4 linked regions of the Schizosaccharomyces pombe genome follow. Changing the gene in region 3 together with the main gene of any one other region gives a genetic interaction. Each region holds a gene or a part of one and is shown on either strand. Other genes may lie near its edges.

Region 1 (7,598 bases), on a different chromosome or scaffold from region 3:
GCAGTAGAACAAGAATCCAAACCACCGCTCAAAGGCAAAAAGAATCCAGCTGCATGAGATCTCCTCAAATAATCCCAAAGCCAGCAAGCCGGACCAAAAGTGATTTCTTCCTCAGGTAAAGGAATAGTAACTTCAATTGGATCAGTTGGTTTTCTGTAAATATCATAGTCTTGTTGATAGCTACTGAGACTAAAATTGACATGAATACGTTCATAAGATGGTCTAGTGACACCTTGGATTCCATGTGATGGTTGGAAACGATACGAACGAACAGTATCAACGTCCACGGTAGCTGAAATAACCTCAACATCCTTCAAGGAGAACTGGTGTCCCTGGGCTAGCATTTTTCCATTCGCAAAGATCATTGATGAACCGTCATAGTAGAGACGACCACCATCACAACCCCTCTGATTAGAATATAGATAAATCCCACCGCATTTTTCCGTAGCATTTTGTATCAAGTTTACTCTTGTTGTTAGTTTACGAAGTTCGTGGTGGGATCCTGACGCATTGATAAATATCTCTACACCGTCCAAAGCCATATCAATGTGAGGACTATTTGGAGTAAACAGCTCTTCGCAGGTTTCCACACCAACAACGGTTTCATTGCATTGAAGAATGGCATCTCCAATAGGAACGGTTGTTTGGTTTAAAGACTTTGCAACAAAAGTAGGCAAGTAATGAGTTTCCACAACTCTTGGCCTTAACCAGGGAGTAAACCAACGAGACTCACGAAAATTTCCATCGTCACAAAGCCAAATCTTGGGACGGATTAACAAGATTTTTCCATTTAGAGCTAGAATACGGCAGTTGTGACGCATGGCTTTGTGCATTACAGGCATACCGATGTCAAGGAGAATGTCTTGGCAATCAGGATCGTGAATAATCGAACATAACATTTCCCAACTATGGTAGTAAGTGTCACTTTCTAGAAAATGATCTTCACAGCCATAGCCTCTAATGCGTTTGTTAATAGAAAGTTACAGTGCATAAAATTAATATCAAGGTAAAATACAAGTTTCAATATTGCAAGAAGATGAATAAACTCAACCGAAGTCGCACTCAGTAAACTTGACCATGGCTATCCTTCATGAAGTTTAAACTTTAGCTTATTCACTGATACACTTGCAACATTTAAATCCATTTCTATTACATACGTGACTTCTAATTCTGGACCAACACGAAGGCTTGCGTTTTGTCTTTTCGCCTCTTTGATGGAATCAATGATGCGTAGACGGTTTCCCTCAAAGTCCATTGCCCACTGGTTCAGCTGACTACAGAAGTTAGATCATTGAGACGAAAAATGATTATAGCATACCAAGATGCGATGGTTACATATCGTTCCATAATGAACTGAATGCTTAACTTGAGGTTTATTCCCAAACAAGTAATTTAACTTATAATGTTTTTTTCGTACTATAAAAGTTCCAACTATGAGTGAAGATCGAAGTTTCTATTCAAATGTCTATTCACGGTTATGGCAGTAAGTAAGAGCAGGAGGTAGTTGTCATAGTAGAGTCAAGTGTAAATAAAGGGTTCGCATCATATAGCAAAAATGCCAGTTTCCCTAAGTAAGAAAAAGAAAATTTAAATAATTTTAAAGACCCTCTCTGATATTAGTAAAAAGAACCTTAATACTTCTTATGCAAATTTTGGCGACTCTTCTAACTACATGTGTATTAATTGTACATTACTACATAGCTTAAAAATTGATTTATAAAATCAGAATAATTGTAATTTTTATTTGATATTGCAATACAAATTCTAGTTTTAGCGATATATCTTCTCAAGTGAAGTCATTTCTGGGACTTCCTTTAATAAAAAAATTTGCCTATCTTTTTCAGATATACGAGCTAATAAATGAAATTTTTTGATTTAAAGTCTGTCTGGTTTTATTAGTGTTACTCGCTTATAATTACAGGTTTTTTGATGATTATAGAGCAAGCTGATATCTGGAATACGCACAACAGTAATTACATTTTTTTAATAGTACAAAATTGTTTTAATTTTATCCTTGAAAATATTTCATGATTTAATTAATATACTTAGTTCTTGGAGCATATAATCGAAATTACTTAGCTTAAAGAAGAAGAAGCAAAGCGACAGATGCCATAATGGTTGATACTCATTTTTTAACTCCCCTTCAGTTACTTCTTGTTGCAAATTATAGACAGATGATTCTTCAGCTGCTCAATAAATTTAATAGTTTTAGTGATTGCAAAGATCAGTCTTCTTTTTTGAAAGGGTATTAATTAGAATTGACAAAAGATTTCAGGTTTATTATTACAATGAAACAACTTTCTTCATCTTCTTGGGCTTTTTTCTCCTAAATTTCGTCCAAGTACTAAATTTTAGGTAAATTTCTATCAGTGCGCTTAAACCAACTTTAATAACTTAATTTGTACCTATCTTCGACATGGTGATGAGAATTGCAAGTTCAAGATTTCGAGCAGAATTACCCTCTATAGGCCTTTTATGTTGCTAAAATTATAACATAAGTACTTTTGCACCTAATCGTATCATCAATCATCTTTGATGAATTTTCTTGCCTGCAAACCTCAAAAGCGATAGAAGAACAAAAGAATCAGTTTTATCTCCAACTGCTATGTTTAGATTCTCTATTATAATGCGACGATAGATACAAATTTACAAGATAAATAATTTTACATTACGAATATTTGAAGCAATCTGCCTCTGTAAGCTCAACTGTAAACTTCATGGTTTAAGGTGAAAAAAGACATCTTTTTTTATATATCATTATGTATACACACAGTCTGTCCCTATGAAACTATCAATCGGGATTATTAACCATTGTTTCCGTTTCTCGATACAGGATATTGAAAATTATCTAACAGTTTTGCTTCCTTGGGCACTAAGAGACCTTTTACTAAAGAAAAACCCATCAAATATTAGACCTTGTAGATTAGTAAAATTAATAAAAATAAGCATCTCTCTTGAAACCATCTCAAGAGATAATCTGCTTCTGCTTGCGTATTATAAAGTTACCTTCAATCATTTCGGCGTGTAAACAAGTACCTCATATCAATAACCAAAAGCTCAACTCGTTTGTAGTTCATAAAGAAAAAGAAAAGAAAAGGAAACCTTGTTTAAGGATTCTACAAAGATGTAATTTTCTGGCTTGAGATCATTTACTTTCCTAGATTTCAACTTTCTGCTGTATACCAACCATTTCCTAACTACCATCCAACAAAAGCACGTAATTCCCATTCCTAAAGCGAGAGCAATTAATGCTCAAATGAGGTTTATACATGAAATAGATATTCTCACTCTTATTCTTTAATTAATTATTAAATAGGGTGGTTTGTGAGTTTTTTTCAACAATATTAAGCTTTTCGTAAGCCACCTTTCGGAACTGCCTTTACAGGCTTTAAAACTTATATTCTATGGATACAAGTTCCAATGTTTTTCATTATCAAGTATTGTGGACGTCTGATAAAGCAAAAAAAGTAAAAGTTTGGAAAGATGGGACAATGCGCTTCCACAGCTTCAATAATCGTGGAATTCTCTACGATTCTGATAACCGAGTCGTAGATGATTTTTTCCTTAACAACAAGAGAATTGTTCTGGATTCTGAAATTGAATTTAATAGAACTATTGTTTACGTTGAGAATTTACAAACAACTACTGAAGCGAATATTCCACCTATACCGAGGAAATCAAAATTGAGTGAGACAGGGAAGAGGCCAGCTTATTTATTAAAACCATTCCAGCCTCCATTTCACTCCGCTAACTCAGATGTATCTAACAATTCAAATGGTGCTTTATCGTCAAATATGTTAAAAACACACGCTCATCATACAAATTCAACAAAATCCACGATCTTCCGGAACGCAAATTTGCAATCTTATGGAGTAGATGACTCAGATATTGGTAGTTTGAGATGTTCAAGTAAGCATCAACTGTCAGTAACACCGGAAATACAACCCAAAGCTAAGTTTAGACCAAACTCATATCTAGCTTCTTCTGTTGAGGAATCTAATCGAGCTAACAATACCTCTCCCTATCCCCCATCTAACTCATCCGTAACTGCGCTACCGAAACCTTCGAAAATTGCATATATCCCTGTTTTGTCAAAACCCAAGTCTTTTAATGGCACCTTGGTTGAAGATCCTGTAGAAGAATTTGGAGAAGACGACATAGCTTCTGACTTTTTTTCTTCCCCTTCTGCCGATCTCGAGGCAGATGATTTTACCACTCTAAATAATTCAAATGCTGGTCATTTGTTACAAAACCTAAGTAATGATAACGTAAGTGTCTCCGTGAAGGCATTAGAAAATGGAAATGAAGAAGTTTCTAATAATCATGCTCGATCTCCTCATTCTTCCCGCGCTTGTAATACCATACCTTCCAACAAAAACGATGGGCTAAATGATGATCATCAAAGACAAGATTCTTCTGTTGCAGAACCCAGTCCTACTTCTAAACGTCTCCGTTTGACTCGCCTTCCGTTACCTCTGCTTCGGAAACCCACGGGGAAACGACAAAACTTTATTAATATCACAGTTACCGACCCCTCAAAAAACTTGTACGAAAGAAGTGTCAAAACTGCTGCCGAGCTGGCATCGCTTCAAAATGTAACAGAAACAACTGATAATGAAATACCAAACTCTCCTGATTTTCTAGATGCAGCATCAGAAGAGGATGAACACATTCCTTCGCTAGATTCGTCATCTCTTTTAACACCTTTGGCTTTGCCCAACAAAAAAGCCTTTCAACCCGTGAAGTTTCGTGTACCGTCTTTTTCATCTCCTTTAGTTAAACCAGCATCTTCGTCCTCGTTTGGTAGGAGTCACTCTCACTTAGGCACGTCCCTTCGCTCAAACGAACTTAATGGATCTAGTGCTTCTTCTTCAATCTTTCTACAATCCAACAATGCAGTCAATCCTAACGTTTCACCTTCTACTGTGCTTGAACATGCCAAACATCCTTCCTTGGCCAAACATTCAGGTGTATCGCTGAGAACAGGCTTGTTGATATATCCTAAATATGCAAATGGTTCGAAAAGAAAAGACGGTTTTGGAGCTACTTCTATAATATCTTCAGGGGAACATTCGTCGTTGCCTAAAAACTCGAAATCCAGAAATGTGTCGGTATTTTCTAGCCCTTTTAATGTCCCTTCGTTTACTGTTTCTTCTTCGGACCAAGTCCAAAAGAAAAAAGGAAATGTTCCTAATGCTATTGAAACGGACTCTTCTCCTTCGGATACCATTTCATCCTCGCCTACTGTTCGAGCTGTAAATCTCTCACCCAGCAAAAACCAAAAGCCTCCGAAAATACTTACCAAAATTCCGGATATTTTTTCTAAAGCGGGAAAGAAATCTCCTATTTTACCAACTTTTCAAGAGTCTTGTTCGTTACCTATTGAGCCTTTTTCGTCAAACATTACGGATTTGCCATTTGTAAATACAGTAACACTTGCTTCAACGAGTAGCAAGATCAAAAGGGCAAAGTTAAAAATGCTAAAATTTAAGCATGCCATGACTACACAAGGACGCGATCTCGATTCGGACGAAGATGGTGACTTTATTTGAAATTAATTTTTCTTTCGTACGTTGAAACTTCTCTCTCAAGCCGACTTTGTTACATATAATTTTTAATTCAAAAAACAGTACTGAATTTTGATTTCTGGTTTCCTTCATGTATTATTATCAACATTTATTTTTCCATAGTTCATTTAGGTTTTAGCTATACTTATTTAGCTCTTTTACATATAATTAATTTTTTTTTTTTAAACATTAGATTTCAGCTTGTTTTTGGTGTTGTTAGTACAATTCTAGGTTTTGATTTTCATTTTTTAGTAGCACATACATTGCTTTTTCAAAACCTTGAGTTTCTTCTTTGAACCTTTGAGCAAATAAGTATCAGATTTATTCTTTTCTTTTAAAAAACCAACTATTTGGGTTATTATGAAAATGTTGTAAATATTTTAAGTTAAATTATCTTTTGTAGTCATTTATTTTCTATACATGTTTAAATTTTTCAGCACTAAATAGTGTCTGTTGGTGAGCTCCAAAAATCTTGTTAAAGATGGGTAAAAAGCGAAAACAGACCATAAAAAATGACTATAATGAAAAAATTACGAAAAGAAAGGTCAAAAATAATTTGACTGATGGAAAAGCTAGAGCGTTAACGGTTTTTGAGTCTTTACCTTTAGAAGTTTTAAGATTAATATTTTTGTTATCCAATAATTCGAATTTGGCAGTGACTTCTCGTAGTTTGAGACACCGATTATCTTTAAGGAATAATACGCCTATCTTCATGCCTATTGATTTTACTCTTTCAATGGTACCCAAAAGCATCATTCTCTCTATTCAACGTGGATTGCTACGCAGGTATTTTACACTTCAAATCCTTACAAAAATTGACGAATTAGTCATTTCGGGGTTTGTTAAAAAAAGCCCTAATGAAGATATAAAAGATGGTCGAGTTATACATGCAGGACACGAAGGTTTTATACCAAAACGTATTCTTTTCTTACCCAATGCAGAAGATTTCATTGCAGAGCTGGAACATCGCAACTTTTTGTTTAAAGCTTCTTCTCTTAGAAATGGTTTTCTGCTAGCATTAAAACAACGGAACATACCAGTTATTCGTCAAGTAGGTAAAATTGTTACTGAACGACTTATTTCTATACCTGATGATGAAGTTGAGTTTTGTTTCCTCACCTGGTTCGAGTACACAATGGAGCAAAATTCGGTGGAACTTTTGGATATAGTTTTTGGGTTTTGGAACAATATAATTGAAAAAAGATTTTCTAAATCTTTTATTGACTCTTACCTAACGAGACTTGTGGATATAGCAATTTCAAAAAATGTTACAGAGATCATGTACTACTTGATTGAAAAAGGTGCAATTCCTCAATTACCTAACCTTTTGAAGCTTTTTTAAATGCTTAAGTTTGTAATCAAAATTGCTCTAGCTTTTATATCTTATTCATCATATCATTTGCATCTCGTTCTATAAAATAAATTTTGTATTCGAGGTATTTAATATTCATCTTCACGTTCCTTTTTATATGCGTTGTTTCCTTTTTTCAAATAGATTCAATAAAATAACTTTTTAAAAACCAAAATTGTTATTTCTTTCGTTTAGTCAAAAACATACGAGATAACATTTCAATTTTGAGAGGGAATAACATGGAATTATTTTACGCATGTGTGCATGTTATTAAGCTTTTTACATATTTTAAAATTAGTATGTACGCACATTCATCTGAGCTCGACTCTCAAAGAATTAGCTACTCGGTTCCTAAGCTTTTCCTGTAGCTTGTCAATTTCTTCGTTTCTAAGGGATCTTTCCATACTTCTGTAATTGACTCGGTAGCACAAGCTCGTTTTTCCAGATTTGGCAGTATACTGATCAATCAAGTTAACAGATTCTACCATATCTTGACAGACATCCCGTATGATCTCATAAAAATCATTTGGATTAAAATCATTATTGATCCAAAATGCAATGTCTTTGAAACATGCTGGGTATTTACTAAAAGGCTTAAAAGTGCTAATCTTGTTAGGCAAGAATTGCTTCGAGAATCGTTCATCCAGTGACCAAAAAAGCCGAATATCAGGAATACCGTA
Region 2 (8,999 bases), on a different chromosome or scaffold from region 3:
AAATCTGGTGACCACCTTACCATCAATGGCATCAGGAAGACCGATCTCGTAGTTAGGACCAGAAGATTTTTGTTTTTTGCTAATATTAACTGCCTTGGTGAATTCTTCCATGGTGACACTCACGGCATTTTGAGAATCCATAAACTTGTACCAACGAGCAAGGTTGAAATACTGGCCAGTGCGTACGGCACCAGCTGCCATGTTGTTTGATTTTAAGGCACCCCAAATAGAAAAATCAGCAGAGGTGAGGGAATAACCCACAAAAAGAGAGCGCATAATTAAATGGTCGTCTAACTGAGCAAGAAGTGAAGAAAGCTCAAGAAAGTTGTGGTTACCAGCTAAGGCAGAGGCAGTTTCCACCCAACTCTCAACCAAAGAACGATCGTTTTCGCCAATGAAAAGTTTAGGATAGACTTGAGAGAAAGTCTGTAAAGCCAACTTGGAACCGAATACAGGAGAATCAGAGCCGTTAAGCTGAATGGAGACGTTCGATTCCTTGTTTTGTTTGTCTAATAAAGCAACGTCCTCATACTTGACGGAAATGCTTCCTGCACCAGACAGATTCACATAATTTGCACATGCAACTGCACCATAAGCAATGGGCTTTGCTTTTAATGCAACACTAACTGACATTTTCCCAAAACCGGTGGTGAAAATTGTCGAACTTGGTTCGTGGTAAGTTGGTGTCGAAGTGATTTTTAGGGTATTAGTGTATGGTAAAGGTATGTTTGCAAAACACTAAAAATCCAAACCAGAAAAATTCGAACGCAGTACGAAGTTGACCGAAAAAAAAGGATTCTATTTAAGTACAAATTAGATTATAGATAAGGAATTCAAGTTCATGTCTGACCTTGATTAATTTTCTTTCCAGCATTTTTCGCTAATCTGCTAATTTTATACAGATATGAACCGAAACCGAGGGTTTCTCGTTATACTGTTTACCATTTTCTAACGTAAATCGGTATACCGATAAGAAAAGAGAATAGATACATAATAACAGAGTGGAGTTGAAACAATCAGAAGAATGGAAGAAAAGTCATTTTTTTGTTAATAATTACCTGTTAATCAGCTATAGGATTAAAGGAAAAAGTAGGAAAAATCATCTACCAAGTTAATTAATAAGATCTTTATCATCTCATTTATTTAGTTATCTTGCTATTGACAATTTTGACGATATCAAATACATATATGACATTTCAAGTACATTGAGAGTAGAAAAAGAGCACCTTTTATAATTGAAATTATTATAAATTGGAAAAAAATCTCACTTCAAAATAGATAGCTGCTTTGTTTATTTTACAGAAATAGCTAAAATTTGAATACAGCCATTTATAATGTACTTCATTGTATATAATATAAGGAACTCTAACATATCACGGCATAGTCTAGCGATTCATCTACTGAACATGTAAATATATCATTGTTTGCTTCGACAGATGTCTCATGTGGTTTTGCCGCGTGAGTTATACAGTAGATGAATTGTTTACAGCTATACAGTTTCCTTGTTTTTTTTATAACTGAGAAACCTTTGAGGTTTATCTGATGGCACGGTAATTATGAGATAACGAGTAGAAACCAAAAACTCACAAACATTTAAATGCAGTTCAGCAGGTAGCTGAAGTCTCTTTGACAAGCTGTATTTCTTCCTTAATTCTCATTTCGTGATGGTAATCAATTGTTTTCCTTACCCTGCCTCCTAACAAATTGCAGTTTGCTAAAAAGTGTTTACCAAATAGTGAGTCATAGTGCATTGACTGTAAATGTGAAAATTCGTCGTAATGCTAACGATCATTAAATGTACGGTAGAGCTAACAAATTAACTCGAGCAATAATAAAATTTCGCAATATGAAATAATGCATCTTTTGGAAACTTAGCGCGCGAATAAAGTATACACATGGACGGGTCTACTAGTACCTAACGATTATCGATGAAGCTGCAGCGTTTGTCAAGAGCACTTTACGGTTTTCGCATCTAATTAGAGAATATGGGAGGCCAAGAGTCAAAGTAAGTAACATTGCGAAATTTTCGTATGAGCTAACTGTTTAGATTGGCATTTCAGCGAGGAATTGCAAGATTAGCTTCTCAACCGGTACGGTTTGTGTTTATGGGTGGATGATACGCTAAGAGAACATTGCAAGCTAATTCTAGTAGGATATACCGTTGGATGATGAAGTTTGGGTTTCTGTATGAAATTTTTTTTATTAACTTGTGTAAGACGCTTTTACTAATGTATTCGTTTTTATGTTTATTAGCTTTGGAGTGTACCTGAAAGTTGTCCAGAAGTTTACGATTTTTTTCCCCCAGGTCTCATTCGTGAGATGAGGGATCATGCCTTTGTAAACCTTGAAAAATTGCTGCTTGTATTGACATCTCGTTTGTTTGCGTTGAAAAATGACAAAAAGTTTCCAAATCCTGAAACGGCACCAGCGAGTGAAGCGTTAAACTGCATTCGCCTACTTACTAGAATCATTCCTTTTTTGAATGAGAAACTCGATTTAGAAGAATGGCATCAAAAGTTTTGGTGGAGCCTTAGAAAGAAGAGAAATTTACCAAAGGAAAATTCCGAATTAGACCTTAGTAATTTTCAAGACGATCTAGATTTTGAAAATTCCATCTCCCAAAAGAACGAATTCTCGCAGAAGTCTCCTTCAGTCCCATTATCTCCTGTGAGCACCTTTCCTGCTTCTTCCATCTCCCTTGATGCTTCTTCAGACGTCTCTGCCGCTGACGTATCAGTAGGTGGTTCTAGCACAATCAAAGAAATTGGCTCTATTGAAGAAACTTTTACTCATGAAAAAACTTTAATGGAGGAATTGCTGGACACCGTCTTTCGTTTGCTTTTTTGCAGAGGCTTTACGCTTCCTCTTTCAAGTCCTGAGCAATATGCATACATTATATGGTAAGTATATATGTATATATATATATATTTTTTTTTTGTTTTTCGTTTGCTTTTTTATATTTGGTTAAATGCAATGTGTTAACTAATCACTTTTGCAGGGAAAATGGAATTGGTACAACAGAAACCCAAGAGAAAACCACAAAGGAACTTGCGTTTAATCGCATTGAGGTTCTTCGTTTGCTGTTAGTATTGATTTCTAAAAGGCTGTATCGATCTTCTGAAGTAGCTTCTCACACCCTTACTTATTTGACCTGTGTAGCAAATAAGCAGCTTATACTAGTTTTTCTTTATTCCCTTATAAATACTGTAAGTTTTGGCTTAAAATTTACCTTTTTTTGTTGTACAACTAACTTAGTTTTTAGACTTTGCGACTTAGACCTGATAGCTGGAAGGCTTCGTATTCAACTCTAGTACCTTATAATGATTCTAGCATTGCACTCTCAAAACTTACTTCTCAAATCCTTTTGCTTTTTTTAGATCACACCCCTCATGAAACAACAGTCGAATACTTCAGACAGAGACTCAATCTTTCTCCTGGCGCTGCTATCGAAAATCAGTATAGATTATATTTTTCTCGACTTCAATTACAAGCTGATTATGAATTTTTAGTTAACGAACTATATCGGCTATTGAATGCACCAGTTTCCGCTATCTCTGCCTATATTTCAATTGTACAAAAGCCTAATATCGCGTTTCCGGAAATTATTTTGTTTCTTTGGCAAGCAATTTTATATAATAAAGTATGTTCAACGGTCCTTTTATATATATTACATTATTTGTACAGTTGTTTAATTTATGTTGTTACGCGTTCATTATATTTGCTAACTAATTTAAAACAGCGTTTCCGAGCATTTTTGATCACTTCTCCTTATGCTACGGAGTTTTTAACTTCTATTCAGTTTTATGCACTTAGATATCGTGAAGACAATGAACATTCCGGCCTTGTTCGCATTTGCCTTTTTATCGTTCATTATTTATCATGCGAGAAGGTTCTTTGTGAAAAACTAAATAGAAACTGTATGAATGCACAATCATTGATGTCTTCCCTTGGGTTCTCAGTCCCACCAATGTCTTATGCAGAGTTTTTGATTATCGTAAGATTCACGATTAATTGTTTATTTTAATTTTATTACTTACGCCTTCCAGTCTAGCTTTCATATTTCAGCAGTGAAGAGATCTCCGTTTAGCAGTTTATCTCCTGTTATATTGTTGACCATATGCAATATTGCACCATTTGTTGAAAACCTAAGTTTCGTTACGTGTGCCAAATTAATGCAACTCTGTTCATCTCTTTCATCTCCTCGGTTTCTTTTTCGTAATCCGCGCAATCATCTGCTTCTTGAATACCTGTTACAGGCTATTTCTAGTATAGTTGAAAACAAGTTTTCTCAAAACCCTAATCTCAGTTATTCTATTATTCGCCTCCAGCAAGTTTTTTTGAATCTTAATTCTATGAAACTTCCTGCCGTTGCTCAGACTAAATCACAGCCTTTAGTGGCCCTCAATTCGGAAGGAAGTAGTGATTTTGAATCTAAATCATCCGATAACACCTCCTTAGATGGAACACCACTCCAAAATACTGACTTTAAAAAAGTTGCTACCGTTGAAGATGATTCACCTTTCGATGAATTAGATAAATTTTCCTCCCCTTTTAGTAGCAGTAGTTCACGCGGTGGCTTATCACATATTTCGAGTAGAAATGTTTCGATTTCTGTCCCGACAGTCCTTCAAGATGTATTCTCAGATTCTCCATTGGTTCTGTCTAGAAAGTTGCGTGGGAAAATACCGGAAAATGTTTCTAGTTCAGAACTTATTAAAAAATGTGCATCCAATCCGTTTGGAAAAGATTTAGAAATTGACTCAAATTTGTTTGCACCTTCCAACTCGTGGTTTAATTCTTGGCATTCAAGACTTGAATTGGATTCTATTCTAGCCATTATATCTCAGTTTTCTCTACCTGTATACAAGAAAATGAATGAAGAATTATCAACTACTGACGAAGCTGTTAAACTATTAGCTAACTCTGTGCTAAATGATGTACATCCTCGAGTTCCCAATTTTCGCTACTTTATTTGGAGTGTCCCTATGAATAATTGGTTTCAAAGTCTTGTTTGGCTTTATACTTTGTCATTTGATGAAAAAGGTTTAATGGCTACTCCCTCTTTATTTACAACCTCTAAAGTGTACAAACAACATGGAAATATCATGAAAGTTGCATCTCCTGAAAACAGTTCTAACTCAATGGAGAATGCCACAAAATCTATACTTGACAAACTCGATTTGCTGTATTTACAGCTGCCAAGTAGTGTCAACCACGATTCCAGTTTACGCAACAAGTGATTCTTAAATTCAATGCGTAAATTAAAGTATACTTTTGTCCTAAAAAATATTTGAAGAAAACCCTGCATGCATGTTATGGTATCTTACTTTGAAAATTTATTGATTAAATTGTTCACTAAAAAATTATCTTGGAGGATTTGCATCCACATACTGCCATCATTTAATTATATACTGATGACCAGAATCTTGCCTTGCTAATTTTGATTTTTGAACTTTTCGATTTGTTTTCATTCTATTAATTAACTAAAAACTGGCTTGGAGAATCTTCTGCTCCAACCTTGTCACTAGCTTTAAAAAAGTCTTTCGAAGTTTGATTTGGAAAGTTGGTGTTTGAAAGTCAATCTCGTATACTTTAGAAAGACCCACCTTTATGAGAGAAACGATCCACTGATGCTAATTCATTACATGTATCCAAATCAATGTATAACCTTATATAGCAATGAATTGGTTGCTAAAAAATTCTTAGCTTTATTTCGCTACACTTATAAATCTGTTTACTATATAAAATAAAAAATCCAATTTCAAAAGTTTTGAGTCCCAATTTTTTGGGTAACGAGGATTACTTCATAAAGACCTTAGACCTTTCCTTTATTTTTTCCACAAAACTATTTATATTCATGAGTTTGTTTTGTAATTGCAATGAATAACTAGCTTGTCATTTACGAAAATTGCATATCAAAAGTATTTGAGTAAAATCGATATCCTGTTTGGCATAATGGTTCAATTTATAAAAAATTCGTGTGGTTAAGAGTAGAAATATATTTTCGATTTTGCGAAATGCTTAATATGCGAAGATATTGTATTTGAGTACTTCAAAAGAATACAACGCACAGTAAACCTTTTCTTTCAATAAATTATCAGGTAGAGGTGGCCTTATTACTGTTTTTTAATAATTTTTATGCTTAAATACCTATTGGAAGCAAGAAGTAATTATGATTACCAAAATTGACTCACTTCCAAAGGACCTAATTCGCAAAGTTGAAAATGGTGAAAAGTTGTTGCCAAATCAAGAAATCGTTTATTTTGAAGAAAAAACAGTCCCCTATAAAATTAGAAGTGATGAGGAAAGTTTTCCTTTGGGCAAATTGATAACTTTATTAGTAACTTCACAGAGCTTTATCCTTTTTGATGAAGAACAGAATTCTGGCTGGAAAATTCCATATGAAACCATTACTCTTCATGCGAAACAAAGCAAGGATAAGCCATATGTATATGTTCAATTAGAGGGTGAAGCCATTCGACCCTTGCTAGATCACATTCTTAAATTTGAACGGTCGTCAGGAACATTGCATGAAGCTCCTTCTACCGAAGATGAAAATGAATTCACAGATGATTTTTTAGAACTAACATTATATGTTACTGATGTTGATTCATGTTACCAGGCTCTTTGTACTTGCCAATCTCTACATCCGGACACTTTTTCCTCAGATAATGATGTTGAAAACGCGAGTATGGGAAACCCTATGTCCTTATTTTTTGATCCAAATCACCAGTGGGTTACGGCTGAAAACGTAGATACCTCAGCTTGTGATAACAGATTTGATTCTCCGGAATCGCCTGTTCTGAAATGGCATCGCACAGAGTAACTTTCATAATGTTGTATTCTAACGTTTCATTCATACTTTTTAAAAAGTAGTTTATGATAATAAATAAATATAAACAGGCTTCTAAATTTACTAGATAAAATATCATTACACATTTCACTAATTTGTACAAAATTAATCATGTAATACATATTACAAATGACAAGACTGTAGACTAAATTTCCCATGCAATAACATTTTAATCATTATTTATACTGGAGAGGAATTGCAATAGCATGTGAGGCGGAAAGATGAACATGCTTTACGGTAACTTTAACTTTTCCAGGCAGTTTGGCCAAAGTAAACCGAACATTTGATACAAGTGCTTCGATGTTTTCTTGTAGCTCCTTGTCGCTGAACCCTAGTTTTCCAACCGGCAAATTTATCGAGCCTGCATCATTTTGCCGATAGTCAACAGCTGTGAGGGCAGATTCAATGAGTGGCTTCAATTCATCTGATATAGTACCTCGTTTTATTGAAGGCATAAGACGTTTTGATCCTAATAATTTAGCAACTTGTGGTAGTAATTCTGCCGAGTTGGGATGAGCAAAGCACTTTGAAAATTCAAGGGGCTCTGTTTGAATTTTTTTTACTAAGTCTTCTGCACCAACATAGGTTGCACCCAATTTTAAAGCTTCATCTGCAGCTGCACCTTTAGCAAACACACAAATTTTAGGAGGCTCTTGAAATGGATGAGGAAAGGCAATTTGACCACGAGCTGACGGAGCGCGTCGATTACTTTTTAAAGCAATTGAAAGCATATAAGACCCAACATATGGAACAGAAATGCTCACAGATTTGAGATATTTTGTGGCTTCAGGAACTGTCATCGCAAGAGCGGGAAAATTGGATTTCTTGTTTAGTTGAGAAATAAACCTTTTGCAGAAACCCTTTTGATTTTTAAAATTTAAAAATTCATTATGTGACAATAATGTTTGCCGTTTACCTAACGCTATTAATGAACTCATGGTTTTTAATCTGGTTCGTCAAACTGTCACCAAGCTACTGGATGTCAGTCAATGAACCTGCTAAAATCATAAATCTCTAAACAAATCTGATCCAGCTGTCAACTTTCGAATTAATAAAGAATTATCTTTCAAATCAAATTTCCTTATAATGTTTTTGATTAAAGACTAAAAATAAACGGTTTCGTTTAAATTCCACGTTGTGGTAGTTGTAAGATACTGTAGGGTTATACTAGCAAATCCATCCGTTCACGATGTATATATTTTAAGGAGTTAAAAGTTTGTTCATCGGAGTTTTGAGGGATATAGCATTATGAATTTTGTTTCATAGTTATATCTTCACCGCATCTTGTTAAATCTGCGTCAACTGAATAGTTGTTGGTGAATTGTTGTTAACCTTTGTTGTTGATAAAAAATTTTCCTTATTTGAATCTTTAATATGATAGGAATTCATTTTTTGGATATTGGATGTAGCTTCTGGATAGCTGTCCATGTACCCGACAAGTGAAAGCATGTTCGTTGACTCATTACAGTCCTCATCTTGGAAATGTGAGGGCTCAACTGTTACGTACGTAAGAGTTGTACAGGTTGTTGCTCTTGCTCTTGGCACAAAGTATGCATTACTCAGCTTTTTGTTGTGAAGCATGTCTTGTATCTTCTTCAAGTTGGTGGCTGTTGAACCCATCTTAGCAGACCCTCGGTTATTTAGTTTTGTGTTAGCATGGAATACCAATGGTTTTAACAAGTTTCCTTGTTCTCCGTCATGGCTCAATTTTCCTGCTTCTTTCTTTATATCCAAGTTGCCTGATAACTGTCCACTAAGTTCCTTATTTTCTTGCTTACAGTTAACATATTCATTTGTCTGACTGGGTTCTTTGTTTTCACCAGTCTTAGGCTCATTCTTATTTTCAACCTTACTTGAAAGGGTCGTGGGATTCTCAGAGATTTTGTTTGTAGAAGACTCTATTGGCTTTCGGATGGTAACAGTAGAGCTTCTTTCTGGTTTGACGAACAAAGCTTTGTTGTCTTGCTGCGCTGTTTGTTCTGAAGTAGGTTTGTTTGCAAAAAATGCTTGCAATCTACGAATTCTGTCAGACTTTCGCTCCGCGAAGCAAACGAAAATCCTTTTTTTCCCAACCATCATTCCATTCAATGTGTCTTTGGCTCTAACGGCAGCCTCTATTTGACGAAACGCTACGAAACCATAACCT
Region 3 (6,507 bases):
TTAAAGAAATGTAAATTTCTTTTTCAGTTGAATAAGTAGCTGTATCTATTCAGAGGCGATGTTCTTATAAGTATAGATGGAAAAGTCTTCCATAAAGAAGGTCATGGCAGAAAAACTTGAAAGTGTTCGAAGGAGCGATTTGTGGTACTGTTGCTTGTTGCTACGGTGTTTTGTATTTACAGATGAATGAAAGTATATATCAATATAGATTCATAAATGTGAAATCGTTTTTTTGAAAAATTCTGACAAATTTTTTTTTATAGTATATATTCAATCTTATTCATTTCTAGTGTATGTAATCCACTTTAAATATCATCAATGATTTTGAGTGTTATTATTCATCGGCGTCAAATTATGTTCGCATCATTAATTTTTCCTGTATACATAAATTTCATCATACGTTCAAATTAATCGTTTAAAAAGACTCATTATCCAATAGCTTTATTATCGTTTCGCTTTACAAAACACGCAAAGCCGTTTTCGCCGTAGATGTAGCACTTGCAGGATTGGAACCAGTAACTAATCTTCCATCTGCTATTACAAAATCACCGAATGGGTTTGGTGACTTGATAAAGTTGGCTCCTGCATCATTCAACATATCGTCCAAAACCTCCAAGTTGTATTTTTTCAGCGCTTCCATAAGTTTGGATTTATCCTCGGCCACCCTATCGAAGGCGGTAACATCTTTACCACAGACAATTGAAACAGAGCCGTCGGACGTTTGACGCTTCATGAATGGAAGTAATGTAGGACCATGGCACACGGCAGCTACTACTCCCCCATTTTCATAAATGGAAGTACCAAGTTTTTGCAAATTTGTAGCTTTTGGAAAATCAAATAGAGTGGCATGTCCTCCTGCTACGAAGAAAATGTCATACTTGTCAGGATTCACTTCGTCGGCGGTTTTGGAATTTTGCACAATCCTCCAAAACATATCATCCTTATTTTCCAAAACATATTTTTCAGCTTTGGATAGCTCAGGGCCACTTGCGATGTGATCATCATAGCTCAAAAACTCTTCACCCTTAGATCCCTTGTCAATTGCCGGACCTGCTACTGAATGATCATCGAATTGGATTTTCCCTGATTCAGTAACAATGTCAACATTGAAACAAGCATCTCTAAATACCAAATAAGGATGTAACAATTCTAAAAAAAATGCTCCAGTATTCTCACCATCTTTATAAAATGGTCCATAATAATCAGAGCAAGCAATTAAGACATTTCTAGTTTTAGCAGGCATTTTTGAGTTAAAAATAGTTTGTATAGTGCTTTACAATGTATAACTCCTTGAAGACAGAAAGAGTTCGATGAAATTGTTTGGATTTTCGGTGAAGACCATCCTTTTATGTCTTTTTTTTGGACTCTAAATATTAGTATTTCTTCGATAAATTTTCGTTTATCGGTTTTTTACGTAAACATTAAGTAAAGTGCAACGTCCACTGATTAATTATTTCCATGTCAGTTACAGAAATTTTCTCCTTAGACGGCATAGCTCTTTTCATTGCCTATTGGTATTCTAGATGCAGCAAGTTCATATAGCTAACGACTTATTTTTTGCTAATTCACCCCTAAACTTGTAATGTGGCTACGAAATGCATTTTGCATCTGGTTTGTTCGAAATTCCGTATGACAGCAGGAGCAATGCGTAGCCAAGTATTAGTGATGAAAAAGGCCAGGGTCTCGTACACTGAGCAAATAAATTCCTCGTACAATAGCAGGTTTGCGTATTCACATGTTTACATTCTAAAAGTCGAATAATAGACGAACAAAATATGTCTGAAGCACTGTTATAATCACACAACGAAAGAAAAAGAGATGTCGGGTAATTTCTGGTTCACCGGCTGAATCAATAATTCGTTAACTTTCTTTAACAAATGTGTATTCGACATGAATTTTTCTAAAAATCAAAAAAATGAACTAACTACCACTTCCTGCTAAATTTTTAATAAAAGGATGGTGAGTTGTAACGAAAACCACAATATACTATAAACCACTGCTGTATATGTTTTGTTGGCACTAAAGCAAACGATGGTTTCTTTTTGCCTTGGTAGATCAGGAGTTGTAATCTAGAAAATTACGAATAAAAATATTCGTTGAAAAAAAATTCCTAGGATGTTATGACTTTATTCTTCGATAGAGTCGCAAATGTCTATACTACAATGAATGCGACCTGCAGTAGAAAGGGAATAACGAATTGGGGAGCAGCTAGCTATTTAGGAGAAATGATTATGAGAAGTAAGCTTATATTGAGTACAATTTGTTTATTAAGAGCTTAAATGATTAAAATGACAATTTCCCATTCATACAGTTCTGTAGTCATGATACTGTGCACACATGAACAGTTTTCTTTACTTAGTAGTGGAGTATTGATAAAGCAATGCCAACTGAATACCCAATTTCCATGAATAAAGTTTTCCTTAAAAACAAAAAATTCAGATCAATTAATCATTTTCATTCCTTTCTTTCCATTGAAAATCTCCAAACTCATATATACGTATAGTAATTAGAAATGATAATTTATCTCTTCATATAATTAATAAATTTACCCTATATATAATGTAACTTTTTTCTGTGTACCACAAGCTTCTGTAGCTCAGTCGGTGGTAGCATCCCTCTCATATAATGACAGGGGAAGGTCGTGAGTTCGAGCCTCACCAGGAGCATTCTTTTTTGCCCTTTACTTTTAAGAAAGTGAGGATTGCTGCGCTAATGTTGTTCAGTATAAGTTGCATTATAACGTGCTATTTACTTGATCTATCCCCATACTGTGGGAATTGTTCGTACTCGTTTCAAAGTTATTACCAAATAAAGTATTACTTTACCATCCTCCTAATCAAATTATTGTTTATCATTTAACCACTTTGCATTTTTTGTTGCTTCTAGTTCAATCACTTGTTGTTGCACTCTCTTATAGAAATTTGACGCAGCGTCGCAGAACTTATCATTTATTCAGTTACAAAAAAGTGCAAGCGTCCAATTTCTCATTTTTTGGTCTGCAGTTTGTTTCTTTAATGCTATCAACTCTTAGCCTTGTTCAATTGTTAAGAGTGCTCTTGAATTGAAAATTTCTATTAACTTATCCATTGGATTCAGTGAAACGACGGCACTAAGTCTTGGACTCAATTGTAATTAAAACTACCATTTTCGCTTGTTAGGATTACTTTTCCTTGCAAATTTTTTCTTCTACGTTTTCACTATACTTCGCTTTTGTTCGTCATGTCGCTTTTGTCTGGCGACCAACGAATTATTTGCTTGGAAATTCCTTTGCAAGGCAAAGAAAACGTACATATTAATTTTGCAAAAGAAGTGGAAAAACTTTATGGACCCTCTGTTCAGGAGAATTCAAAAAAAAATGATCTTTCAGACTCAGCGGATTCTGAGGGCGAAAGTACACATGTTGATGAGCAACAAGCAGCTAATGGGGCGGCCGATGGTACACAGACCATAAAGAAAAAGAAAAGGAAAAGGAGGTACGCTGACGAATACTACGATAGAACAGATCCCTTTATTGATGATGCTGAGCTCTACATTGAAGAGAAGGCTGCCGCTACCAAAGATGGATTTTTTGTATTTAGCGGTCCACTCGTGGCCGAAGGAGATACTGTGAAAATCGAAAGATCAAAGAAGACTAAGAAAAAGAAGAAAACATCTTTATCCAATGCTACACACCCTGCGCCAGCTGTCTCTGCGGTGGTGGCTTCAGCGGATGCTAGCTTTGACGATAGTAGGGATATTGAATCTGAGGACGAGCAGCCATTAAGGACTTTGTCCATTGAAATGGCTGCTAAGAATGCTTTAAAAGAGGCAAAACGGGAAAATGCAAAGGTTCCCAAGGATGTCTCTAAGAAGGAAGCAAAAACAACGAAAAGCAAAGAGAAAGCCACAAAAAAGACATCCTCTTCAGTGCCCAAACAAAGTACGGGAGAAAATACCAAAAAGGCTGTTAAACTTGAGACACCTCTTACATCTACACCCCCTATACCACCTCTCTCTGAACCAAAGCATTCTCCCGCTACTGTTAATGAGCACATTTCTCCTCCAAGTGCTTTAACTAATCCTTCTACGGAGGAACTCAAACCTTCGACCTCCCTACCTATTGATCAGGGCAATGCTTCTGTCGTTTCGAAACCTACTCAACAAGTAAGCATCGTTCTTTCTCAGAATGCATCCTTACCCGTTGATGAACATCAAGCTGAACCAGAGAAATCAATTCCAACTAGTAGCATCCCATAATTATACATATGTAGTGACCTGAAGATCTGTCAATCGATTTCTGTATATTATTTTTATATCATATTTTTTTCGTTAATAAAAAGCAATTATCATCACACCGCATTGATTATCTATTTCTTTTTTAAGGCAGAATTTTGTTTCAGTGTTACTGTTTGTATGAGTAAATTTATGTATTCATTCATAATCAAATGACAAAAAAAGCTATTTAAACCCAAACCTCCTTGTTAACCATTAAATCCCAACAGACCAGTATAATTTTTGAACAAATTTAAAGTTAAGCGTCTATTTTTTCTTGGATGGCTTCTTCTTTTTTGGTGCCTTCCCCTTCTTAGACTTTTTACTTTCTCTACGTTTTTTCAAATTTTCTTCTCTACGTTGCTGCCGCATTAACATTGCTTTTTTTTCGTTGTCCTTCCTTTCCTTCCAAGCGTCTGAAGACTTTTTCTTTTCCTTTTCTTTGCGACGAATGCTCTTTTTAAGCAATTGCTCGTTATCTTTGAGTTTTTTCCCTTCTGCCTGAAGCAAAACTCTATGCCATTTATCACTTTCTTCAATTTTTCTCCTTTTCTCTTCGTCCATGCTTTCAATACGGCGTTTCTTGGCTTCCAAATGCTTTAGAGCGCCAAAGACATCAGTAGGACCTCGCTTTTTTCCGGCAACTTTTAGTTTACCATTCGAGAATTTGTCATCTCCGACTATTAAAGTACCATAAGTAATAGTGCTCTTGTGGTTGTCATTTTCCTCGTCAGCAATGTTATCAGAAGAGTTCCCAGTGTCATAAGCTGCCACTTTTGATTCCTGTTTAGCCTTTGACTCCTTTTTAGCTAACTTCTTCGCTTCAGCACGAGCTTTTGCCTTTTCTTTTCTGCGCTGTAAAAGTAGAGCACGGTCTACTTTTTCAGTAGCTTTTCTTTGAGAGCGAAATGTCTGAATCTTTTCAGCAAGCTTTGCTCGTAAGTCATTTTTTCCTTCAGTTGTTTCCATTACAGACCGATGATAAAGGAGGAATCACAAATAATGGAGAAAGAGGATGAAAATACACAATCAGAATTGGGTTAATAAACAAAATCCGATACAACCCGATAAAAATAGAAAAGGGATGTTAAAATTTCTTAAACGAAAAAAACTTTTGAATTGATGATTGATAATAAATAAAATGAAGCCTAATTACCCACGAACAAAAAAAGAGAAACCCGATAATATGGAGTTTGCGAATCCAAAAACAATTGCTTTGAAAGAAAACTTAATAAAAGGGAAAAAAAGCTAAAGTAATACAAAGATTCAATGGCTATTCAAGATTGAAAGAACGCCTTTTTGTAATAAAGACATGTACTTGTAGTGTGGAAAAGACTGAAAGAAAACCTCTATTTCGAAATTTAACGTAATACGTTATTGTATTTACCAAAAGTTTACGCGCCGTTATTATTGTTTAATGAAAAGGTGCATACCGTTAAGCGAGATAATGGGTAGGGTAATTTGTATTTAGTCCGCGCAGAAAGCCACAATATTGGAAAGAGTAAATAGTCTATTTCCGCGTTTATGAGTTTCTCTATTTTGTAAAAAAAAACATTTATGAAAATAATTTTCTATGTTTTTCGTTATGACTTTGATTCCACAGTCATACTGGAAAGGCTAAAGACGATGTAAACAAATACCTGAACCAAATGTATTTGGAAGGGATGCGATGATACGCAAGCATTGAGTGTTTTAAGAATATCCCTTATCCAAGAGGAACAAGATTGTTTTCAGTTGTTGGATTTTATCAAGAAGCAGCCTCGCATAATATAAAGACGGATGTTGGGTTCTGAAGAAAACGGCAATTCCGTTTTTAAAATCCCCATAAGCATGTAGGGCAGCATATAGGCCGAAATTAAACAAAAAAGAGGAACTTATGATGATAGAGGTCTTCTTATTTTGGTGAAAATGTACAATTTCGTTTTTCCTACGGAATGGAATTGAATTGCATTGTCGCAGTCGCTGTCTTGAACCTCATCCCTAGATACTTGCGAATTGAAATATTTATAAGAATGCGAAAATGATTTGAGCGTGTTTTTGTTCCATAATAAAATAGGAGTATTTTCAAATGACTCTTATGAAGGTTCGTAGGAAAAAAACCGTTAAAAAAAATAAACATAGTAAAAATACCAACTATCTATCCAGCACTATTCCAATTCTATCACACCCAGCGCGCATTCTCTTTCTTTCCCCAACTGGAAAATTCAAGTGCATAGAGTGTTGTTTTCCATGGACAGCATATAGGGACATTGGCCT
Region 4 (6,440 bases), on a different chromosome or scaffold from region 3:
TCAATGTTGCTCCCACAAAGCATGGACTTGACTTTCCAATTGAGTGGAAACGTTCGTGTAATACTTTACTACTAACGAATGTACAGCAGACAATATTAAATAAAAAACGCCGCCAAGTAAGCTATCCATCTAACTCCAAATACCATACAATTGACTCCTTTAATAAGAAACATAAATCAAACAATCTAACGGAATTTGAAATCGTTTCATTTATTCACTAAAATCTACGCTAAAACATGACACAACTTCATCTAGAAATTACATCTATGTCATCAAACGACACCACAGTTGTAATATAATAGATGAAATTAAACACGTCAGAAAACACCAGCTGCCCTACATAATACGACCAAAAGGAAACATATCATGTAAGAGATCATCGCATAGAAAGACAGCAAAACAATTAGGTAAAAAACCTAATCGAAAAGCATGCCTTCAAAGAATTAAAAGTCCTCACTCTGAGGGCAACGGTGCCTCCTATCATCATCCGTGTTGAGTTCTGTGGCTAGGTTAGGAAACCCAAGCCGGACGTATACTATAGAAATGATCCTATGGAGTATCGTCGATAGTGTTTTGTTGAGGATAATGACCCGTATATATAGTAAATATAACGGAAAAGCAGTCACATTCATTTCCAATCAACGAATAATGTTGAACTTTCAAGTATAATGCAGTGTCAATTACACTATATTAAAAAGACTTTGCAAGGCGGTGAAGCTGCTCTTAAATTACAATAAGCATGAAAATCATATTTCGGTAAATTAGTAAAAGAAGTCATGAAAATAGAGCTTAAGGCCGAGAAAACAAAAAAAAAATTTACAAATTTTTTAACTAGTTAGAAAAGGTTTAATAAAACTGGTAGGCTCCTCTATTCTATAACTTGTAATCGCCGACAGCCATGGCTTTAAAAAGTTGCTACTTGTTGTTACTTGTCATTAAACTGGTGAACACTAACTCCTTTAGAAGTTCGTACAGCAATTTGCACTTCAACCAACTACTTGGCAGACTTAAAAAACATGTCTGATACAACTTCATTGAATGTGTAAGAATGACTAAGATATATAAATAACTAATTCAGTAGTCCAGAATTGGAGTCTCCCCCTATTGAGCGGGTGGAATTAGAATCTTTACTTGTAATGAATATCATCAAGCACTGCCGTGATTCTTTTCCTAATATGGGAACAATTGGTAAGTGTAGTCATTGGAGAATAAGTTTTCCCTATTTTTCGAAATGATAAAACTTGCAATTTTTCTGCATCAAAGATGCAGCTATGCATTTGTCAGCTCAGTAATGCTCTACTTAGTGAAATTTCTTATCAACCACAGTTTCTCTCTTGAAATAATATTTTTAACTAACTTTCGTTCAGGTCAGCTTGTTGGTATTGACATTGATGGTGTTTTACAAGTCAGTAGCAGCTTCGAGTCTCCGTCTGTTCTTGAAAATGAAGAGTCTGCTGTTAACAAGTCTGTTTCCGGTAAAGCACGCCAAGCTCATACTGAGGCGATGCTTAATCGTCTTCAGTACATTGGTGCTGTTACTGGTCACGTTGGTTGGTATTTGGGAGCCTATGTTAGTTCATTCTTAAGTAGCCCCTTTTTTGTAGAAACGCAATATGCTTATCAAAAGGCAAACCCCAACAGTATCGCTTTTCTTTATGATTTGTCTCAATCTTCTAATGGAACTTTGTACATGCGTGCTTATCAGTTAACTCCAGAGTTTATGGCTGCCCATGAGGAAAAAACTTGGACCGCCTCCTCCCTCAATAGCCACAACTTGACTCCTTCCAATGTTATCCGTGAACTTCCTATTGTTATTCACAACTCTCATTTGGCTACCTGTTTGCTCCACTCTCTTAGTGAGCCTCCTACTCCAGCTTCTACCCTAACCGCCGAAGCTGCTCTTGAAGATTGTGAAAGCAACTTACCCTTGACTGAAACGTTCAGTAACTTTGAGGTTAGTTTGGGTACCAGATATAGAAAGAATATTGAGTTATTATTGGAGTCTACTGATGAGTTTCATTATGAGCAAGGAAATCTTGGATTTCATCAACGTCAACTCGCAAGAGAGCAAGCTAAAATTCAACAGTGGATTGCTAAGCGTAAGGCCGAAAATGCAAATCGTGCTGCCGAAAATTTACAACCTTTACCTTTAGACGATTGGAAGCGAATCTTCAAGCTCCCTGCGGAGCCTCGACTTCTTGACTCTCTATTGATTAGCTCTCAAATTATGAAGTCTACTCAAATAGATGAACAAAGTTCTGCTTTCTTGTCTAAGCTTGCCGGTGTACGAAACGCTTATGCTTCTTAAGCTACTGATTGGTAATAATCGCTTAAATTTAGCGCTAATTATTTGTGAATCTGGTTGAAAATTTTTAAGGACTTTGATCTCTGTGAAGCGGTTGCATGTATTTGTTTATAAAAAATGGAGCATTCTTCTTCACTCTCACTAGTTATACCTCGTAGCATTAAAATAAAAGGATCTACTTAATTATAAAAGTTGTTTTGGTTTTCTTGATACAGCATATTGGTTTGTTGAAATACAATGTGCAAAAATATACCATGATTGTAATTATAAGAAACAGTTTAATCTTCAATAGTGCATTCAGTTGCTGGTAATCTACTTGTTTATCGTATTCGAGTTTTAGGTTACATTGCTAATTTAATATATTTTCGGGCCCTTATACAACATCGAAACACTTTTCTATTAATAAAATATATTGTTAAATTTTGTTTTCTCTCTGTTAGATTATTTAAAAAAAAAATCGTAAATATTGCCGAGACCTTTTTGTTTGTTTTGACTTGCTTCACGTTACAATGTTGACTTGGCCAAAACCAACAAATTCCAAATTCATTCAATTCGCAACTTGCAATGGAAGTTCCTTCTGCAGTTACCCTAAATAATTATGTGGGTATGAAAACAAAAGAATGTTGATAAAGAGTCAAAACTAATGTTTATAGGGTTCGATTCTATCACTTCGCAAATTAACCGCAAGTTAATTCGTCGTGGTTTTCAATTTAATGTAATGGTGGTTGGTACGTATTATTTTTATTACAGATTTTCAATTATAATGATGTTAACAGTTTCAAATAGGACCGTCAGGTAGCGGAAAAAGCACTTTGATTAATACTTTATTCTCTGCGCACTTGATGGACAGTAAGGGTCGTCTGGATTACCAAGCTCCTTATCGCCAGACAACTGAAATCCATGTTACAAGCCAAGGTATGTTGATTTTTTTATAGTTAGGTTTTCATCTTTGATTGAACTCATTGAGCTGGCTTCAATGAGTCAGCAATCCTTATATTTATTATGGTTACATTGCTAACCACATAGTCGTTCGCGAGAACCGTGTTCAATTACAATTAAATTTAATCGACACTCCTGGATATGGAGATCAAATTAATAACGATAAATGGTAAGTTTGATCAGTGGAAATGGAAATTTCTATTCCTGCACAGCAATTTCTAACTATAATAGCTGGGAGCCTATAATTAAGTACATTAGGGACCAACACTCTTCCTATCTTCGTCGTGAATTAAATTCACATCGCGAGAAACGTCTACAAGACACAAGAGTACATTGTTGTTTATTCTTTATTCGCCCAACTGGACATTCTTTGCGCCCTATTGATATTGCTGTCCTCAAACGCTTAACAGAAGTCGTAAATGTTGTGCCTGTTATCGCTAAGTCTGATTCATTGACTCTTGAAGAAAGAGCAGCATTTAAGCAGCAAATCCGTGAAGAATTTGTTAAACACGACATCAATTTGTATCCTTATGATTCTGATGACGCCGATGAGGAGGAAATTAATCTAAATGCTGCCGTCCGAAATCTTATTCCTTTTGCCGTGGTCGGTTCCGAAAAAGCCATTATCGTAGATGGAAGGCCTATTCGTGGTCGTCAAAACAGATGGGGGGTTGTCAATGTGGATGATGAAAACCACTGCGAGTTTGTTTTTCTTCGTAACTTTTTGATGCGAACTCATCTTCAAGATTTAATTGAAACGACCTCATACTATCATTACGAGAAATTCCGCTTTAAGCAATTGAGCAGCTTAAAAGAACAGTCTTCCCTCGCAACTAGAATGGGAAGTCCCGCACCTGTGTACCCTTCTGAACCACATCTCCATACAGCCACCGCTCAATAGTCTTCTTCCTAAGGTAATATATAGTATGTTTAGAACAAAGACTAAACCATTTGTATGACTGTCGTACCGTAATTCGTAAATTTCGGCTCTTTTTACACTATGCGAATCTTACAAATGAAGTGTTTATCTTATTAACGAGAGATTATATGTTTGATGCGTGATTTTGTCTAGCTATTATACAGTTCTATATCAATATTTATTGAAAAGCATCAAAATGATTTTAAAATTAAAGTACTGGTCGATTTAAGACATTGCAATCCATAAAATGTTCTAGCATCAATCTTCCGAAATGAGATTCGATTTGTGCCCGAAGTTTAAATTCTTTAGAGTTTGATGCAAAAACATTTTGTAGAGATAATACGCATAAATAGGAAGTGCGTAATACTGCAATATCTGTGCATTCTTCTTGCATTAATTGCTGTAAGCCAGAAAGAACGTCATTATTGTTTTTGGTAACGGCATGTCCTACACAATCTATAACTTTAGTAAGAGGACTTCTTGATGCTGAATACAAGTGCACATGATATTCATCTCGCCAAGCAACCATTCGTTCTCGATGCAAATCATCAGACAAGGTTGGTTGAGAGAGAATGTCCAATCCAATAGTAAACAAAGAATCCGAAACAGGTGCATGACTTCGAGAAACAGAAACTTCCGATAAAGGCTTTCCATTAAACCCCCAGATACACCCACGAGGAAGAATTGCAAAAACTAGTTCACGAACGACCATAGCAATCAATAAGCTGACATAATTTGATTTGGTAGACGAAGACCAACTTAACTTTCTAATAAAATTATTACAAAAATTGAGATCATAGGCTGGGAGATTGAGCTGAGTGAGAGTCAAAAATGCAGAAACCAACAGGTATTCAAAAGAATTGGGACCAGGCATTGGACAGCGAAGAGCTCTGGTCAAATGACTGTAAGCACCAAAAACGTCGAGCTTCTTAATAGACGCAAAAGCCATTAAAGAATTAGCAATACAAGGCATCGATTGAGCAAACTGGGGAACAGTGACTGACCAAAAATGCAAGGCTATGTTATTATCAAATTCAAATGCACAAATAGAAGGTACGACATCGTGAAAATAAAACGGAAACAGTTCGGAATTAAAGTTTGAAGGGAAATTGGAAACTGATGAAAGAAAAGGGTAAGAGGCCTGACCCACCGATTGTACAGAGGGTTTTGTAGACGAAGTAGCGCTAGAAGAATTATTTGTAGGAACGTTATGATTGGATTGAAGGTATTGATGCTGTTGATAAGCACTTGGAAATCCTTGTAAATTCATAGGTTTTTGATGATCCTGTTTGATTGGGGTAACGGTGGATAAATTGGAGGAGGAGGTCATCTGATTAAGATCATTTGTATTAAAATTGGATTGTGAAGAGCCGGAAAAAGTGTCTCCGGTTTGAGCGCTACTTGAAGCAATTGAAGTAGGTATCAATGGCTGTTGAGCAGAATGAACGCTTAGCTCAGGAGGCGATACACTCCCCATGGCTTGCATTTGAGCAGCTGAATTTGGATAACCTTCACATTCCCTATTTGTCTTTGTGCAGTTCAAACAAAAAGGTTTGGTTTCGTCGCACTTGATCCTGCGACGGCGACATGTTAAACATCCAGTTTTCGTTCTTCTTTTTGTGGGCTTGGGCGTAGGCTCGACGTTTGGGTTGGGAATATATAGCGGATTTGAATTAATACTACCCGTTCTATTCCGTTTCATATGAATTTCGGGATAAGAAACATACGGGTTCATAACTGCAAGGGAAACAATAGATAGAAAAAAAAAGAATAACAAGATAATAGGAACTAAACAAATCAAAAGTAAAGAAAGCCCGATTTGAAAACGCTACGCTGCTTGAGAAAAGCGCGCAAAGAAAAAACGCAAGCACAGAACATGAAATTGGAAGCCGATTTATACAAAATTTAAGCTCCAATTTAACAAGGAAACTAAGCACCTTTTTCGTAAAGGCCAAGAAACTCTTTGTAGTCTTTTTTTTAAAAAAGGTAGCGTTACTAACTCTATAATTATATATATATGAATACAATAAATTATTTCAGAATAACCGGACGGCCAAACTGTTCGTAATAACAAAAGAAAAAGCCCTAAAAAAACAAAAGAAGGTGAAAATCAATGGTCGTCTAGCAATTTGCTAGCAACTCTTGCACAATCAATAGGTTTATAGGAAGTGACTTGAAAACAAAACTAGCAAAAGCGACAAGCTCACCCAATTTACAAATGCAAATTTGGGTGAATAAAGGACTTAGAAAAAATGTTGGAACAACTTTCAAGTAGGA

Evidence for each region.
Region 1: of hip4 (region 3) and dbl2, changing one suppresses a phenotype caused by changing the other (phenotypic suppression), as found in Schizosaccharomyces pombe (2 studies listed by BioGRID, with this or other methods).
Region 2: mutations in hip4 (region 3) and ftp105 together harm fitness more than expected from each alone (negative genetic interaction), as found in Schizosaccharomyces pombe (2 studies listed by BioGRID).
Region 4: mutations in hip4 (region 3) and spn2 together harm fitness more than expected from each alone (negative genetic interaction), as found in Schizosaccharomyces pombe (2 studies listed by BioGRID).

What each region holds. Positions count from the first base shown.
Region 1 is NC_003421.2:307,135-314,732, forward strand, and holds dbl2 (DNA recombination protein Dbl2), read left to right. Parts: upstream 1-3,179; 5' UTR 3,180-3,404; coding exon 3,405-5,552; 3' UTR 5,553-5,761; downstream 5,762-7,598. Other genes in the region: qns1 (glutamine-dependent NAD(+) synthetase), read right to left, coding at 1-957, 1,158-1,274, 1,319-1,347; SPOM_SPCC736.02 (uncharacterized protein), read left to right, coding at 6,049-6,909; msf1 (phenylalanyl-tRNA synthetase), read right to left, coding at 7,230-7,598.
Region 2 is NC_003424.3:1,784,453-1,793,451, forward strand, and holds ftp105 (Ubp5 interacting protein Ftp10), read left to right. Parts: upstream 1-1,917; 5' UTR 1,918-1,985; coding exon 1,986-2,005; exon of another isoform or gene 2,006-2,047; coding exon 2,048-2,090; exon of another isoform or gene 2,091-2,152; coding exon 2,153-2,185; exon of another isoform or gene 2,186-2,253; coding exon 2,254-2,900; intron 2,901-2,998; coding exon 2,999-3,206; intron 3,207-3,262; coding exon 3,263-3,640; intron 3,641-3,739; coding exon 3,740-3,994; exon of another isoform or gene 3,995-4,046; coding exon 4,047-5,240; 3' UTR 5,241-5,903; downstream 5,904-8,999. Other genes in the region: gus1 (glutamate-tRNA ligase), read right to left, coding at 1-633; protein saf5, read left to right, coding at 6,173-6,826; mrpl1 (mitochondrial 54S ribosomal protein uL1m), read right to left, coding at 7,030-7,791; poly(A)-binding protein Crp79, read right to left, coding at 8,141-8,999. UniProt on the Schizosaccharomyces pombe protein: Required for the localization of ubp5 to the Golgi apparatus. Involved in detoxification of cadmium ion.
Region 3 is NC_003423.3:655,866-662,372, forward strand, and holds hip4 (histone H3.3-H4 chaperone, HIR complex subunit Hip4), read left to right. Parts: upstream 1-2,759; 5' UTR 2,760-3,219; coding exon 3,220-4,236; 3' UTR 4,237-4,366; downstream 4,367-6,507. Other genes in the region: hsp3103 (ThiJ domain protein, glyoxylase III), read right to left, coding at 458-1,243; rrp1402 (ribosome biogenesis protein Rrp14-C), read right to left, coding at 4,519-5,220. UniProt on the Schizosaccharomyces pombe protein: Component of the HIR complex, which functions as a histone chaperone that cooperates with cia1/asf1 to promote replication-independent chromatin assembly.
Region 4 is NC_003424.3:987,381-993,820, forward strand, and holds spn2 (mitotic and meiotic (sporulation) septin Spn2), read left to right. Parts: upstream 1-2,824; 5' UTR 2,825-2,869; coding exon 2,870-2,909; exon of another isoform or gene 2,910-2,958; coding exon 2,959-3,033; exon of another isoform or gene 3,034-3,091; coding exon 3,092-3,220; exon of another isoform or gene 3,221-3,331; coding exon 3,332-3,413; exon of another isoform or gene 3,414-3,475; coding exon 3,476-4,145; 3' UTR 4,146-4,371; downstream 4,372-6,440. Other genes in the region: tif308 (translation initiation factor eIF3h (p40)), read left to right, coding at 1,017-1,042, 1,082-1,188, 1,368-2,308; DNA-binding transcription factor Moc3, read right to left, coding at 4,372-5,898. UniProt on the Schizosaccharomyces pombe protein: Plays a role in the cell cycle. Involved in a late stage of septum formation leading to the separation of the daughter cells. Involved in the correct orientation of forespore membrane extension during sporulation. Binds phosphatidylinositol 4-phosphate.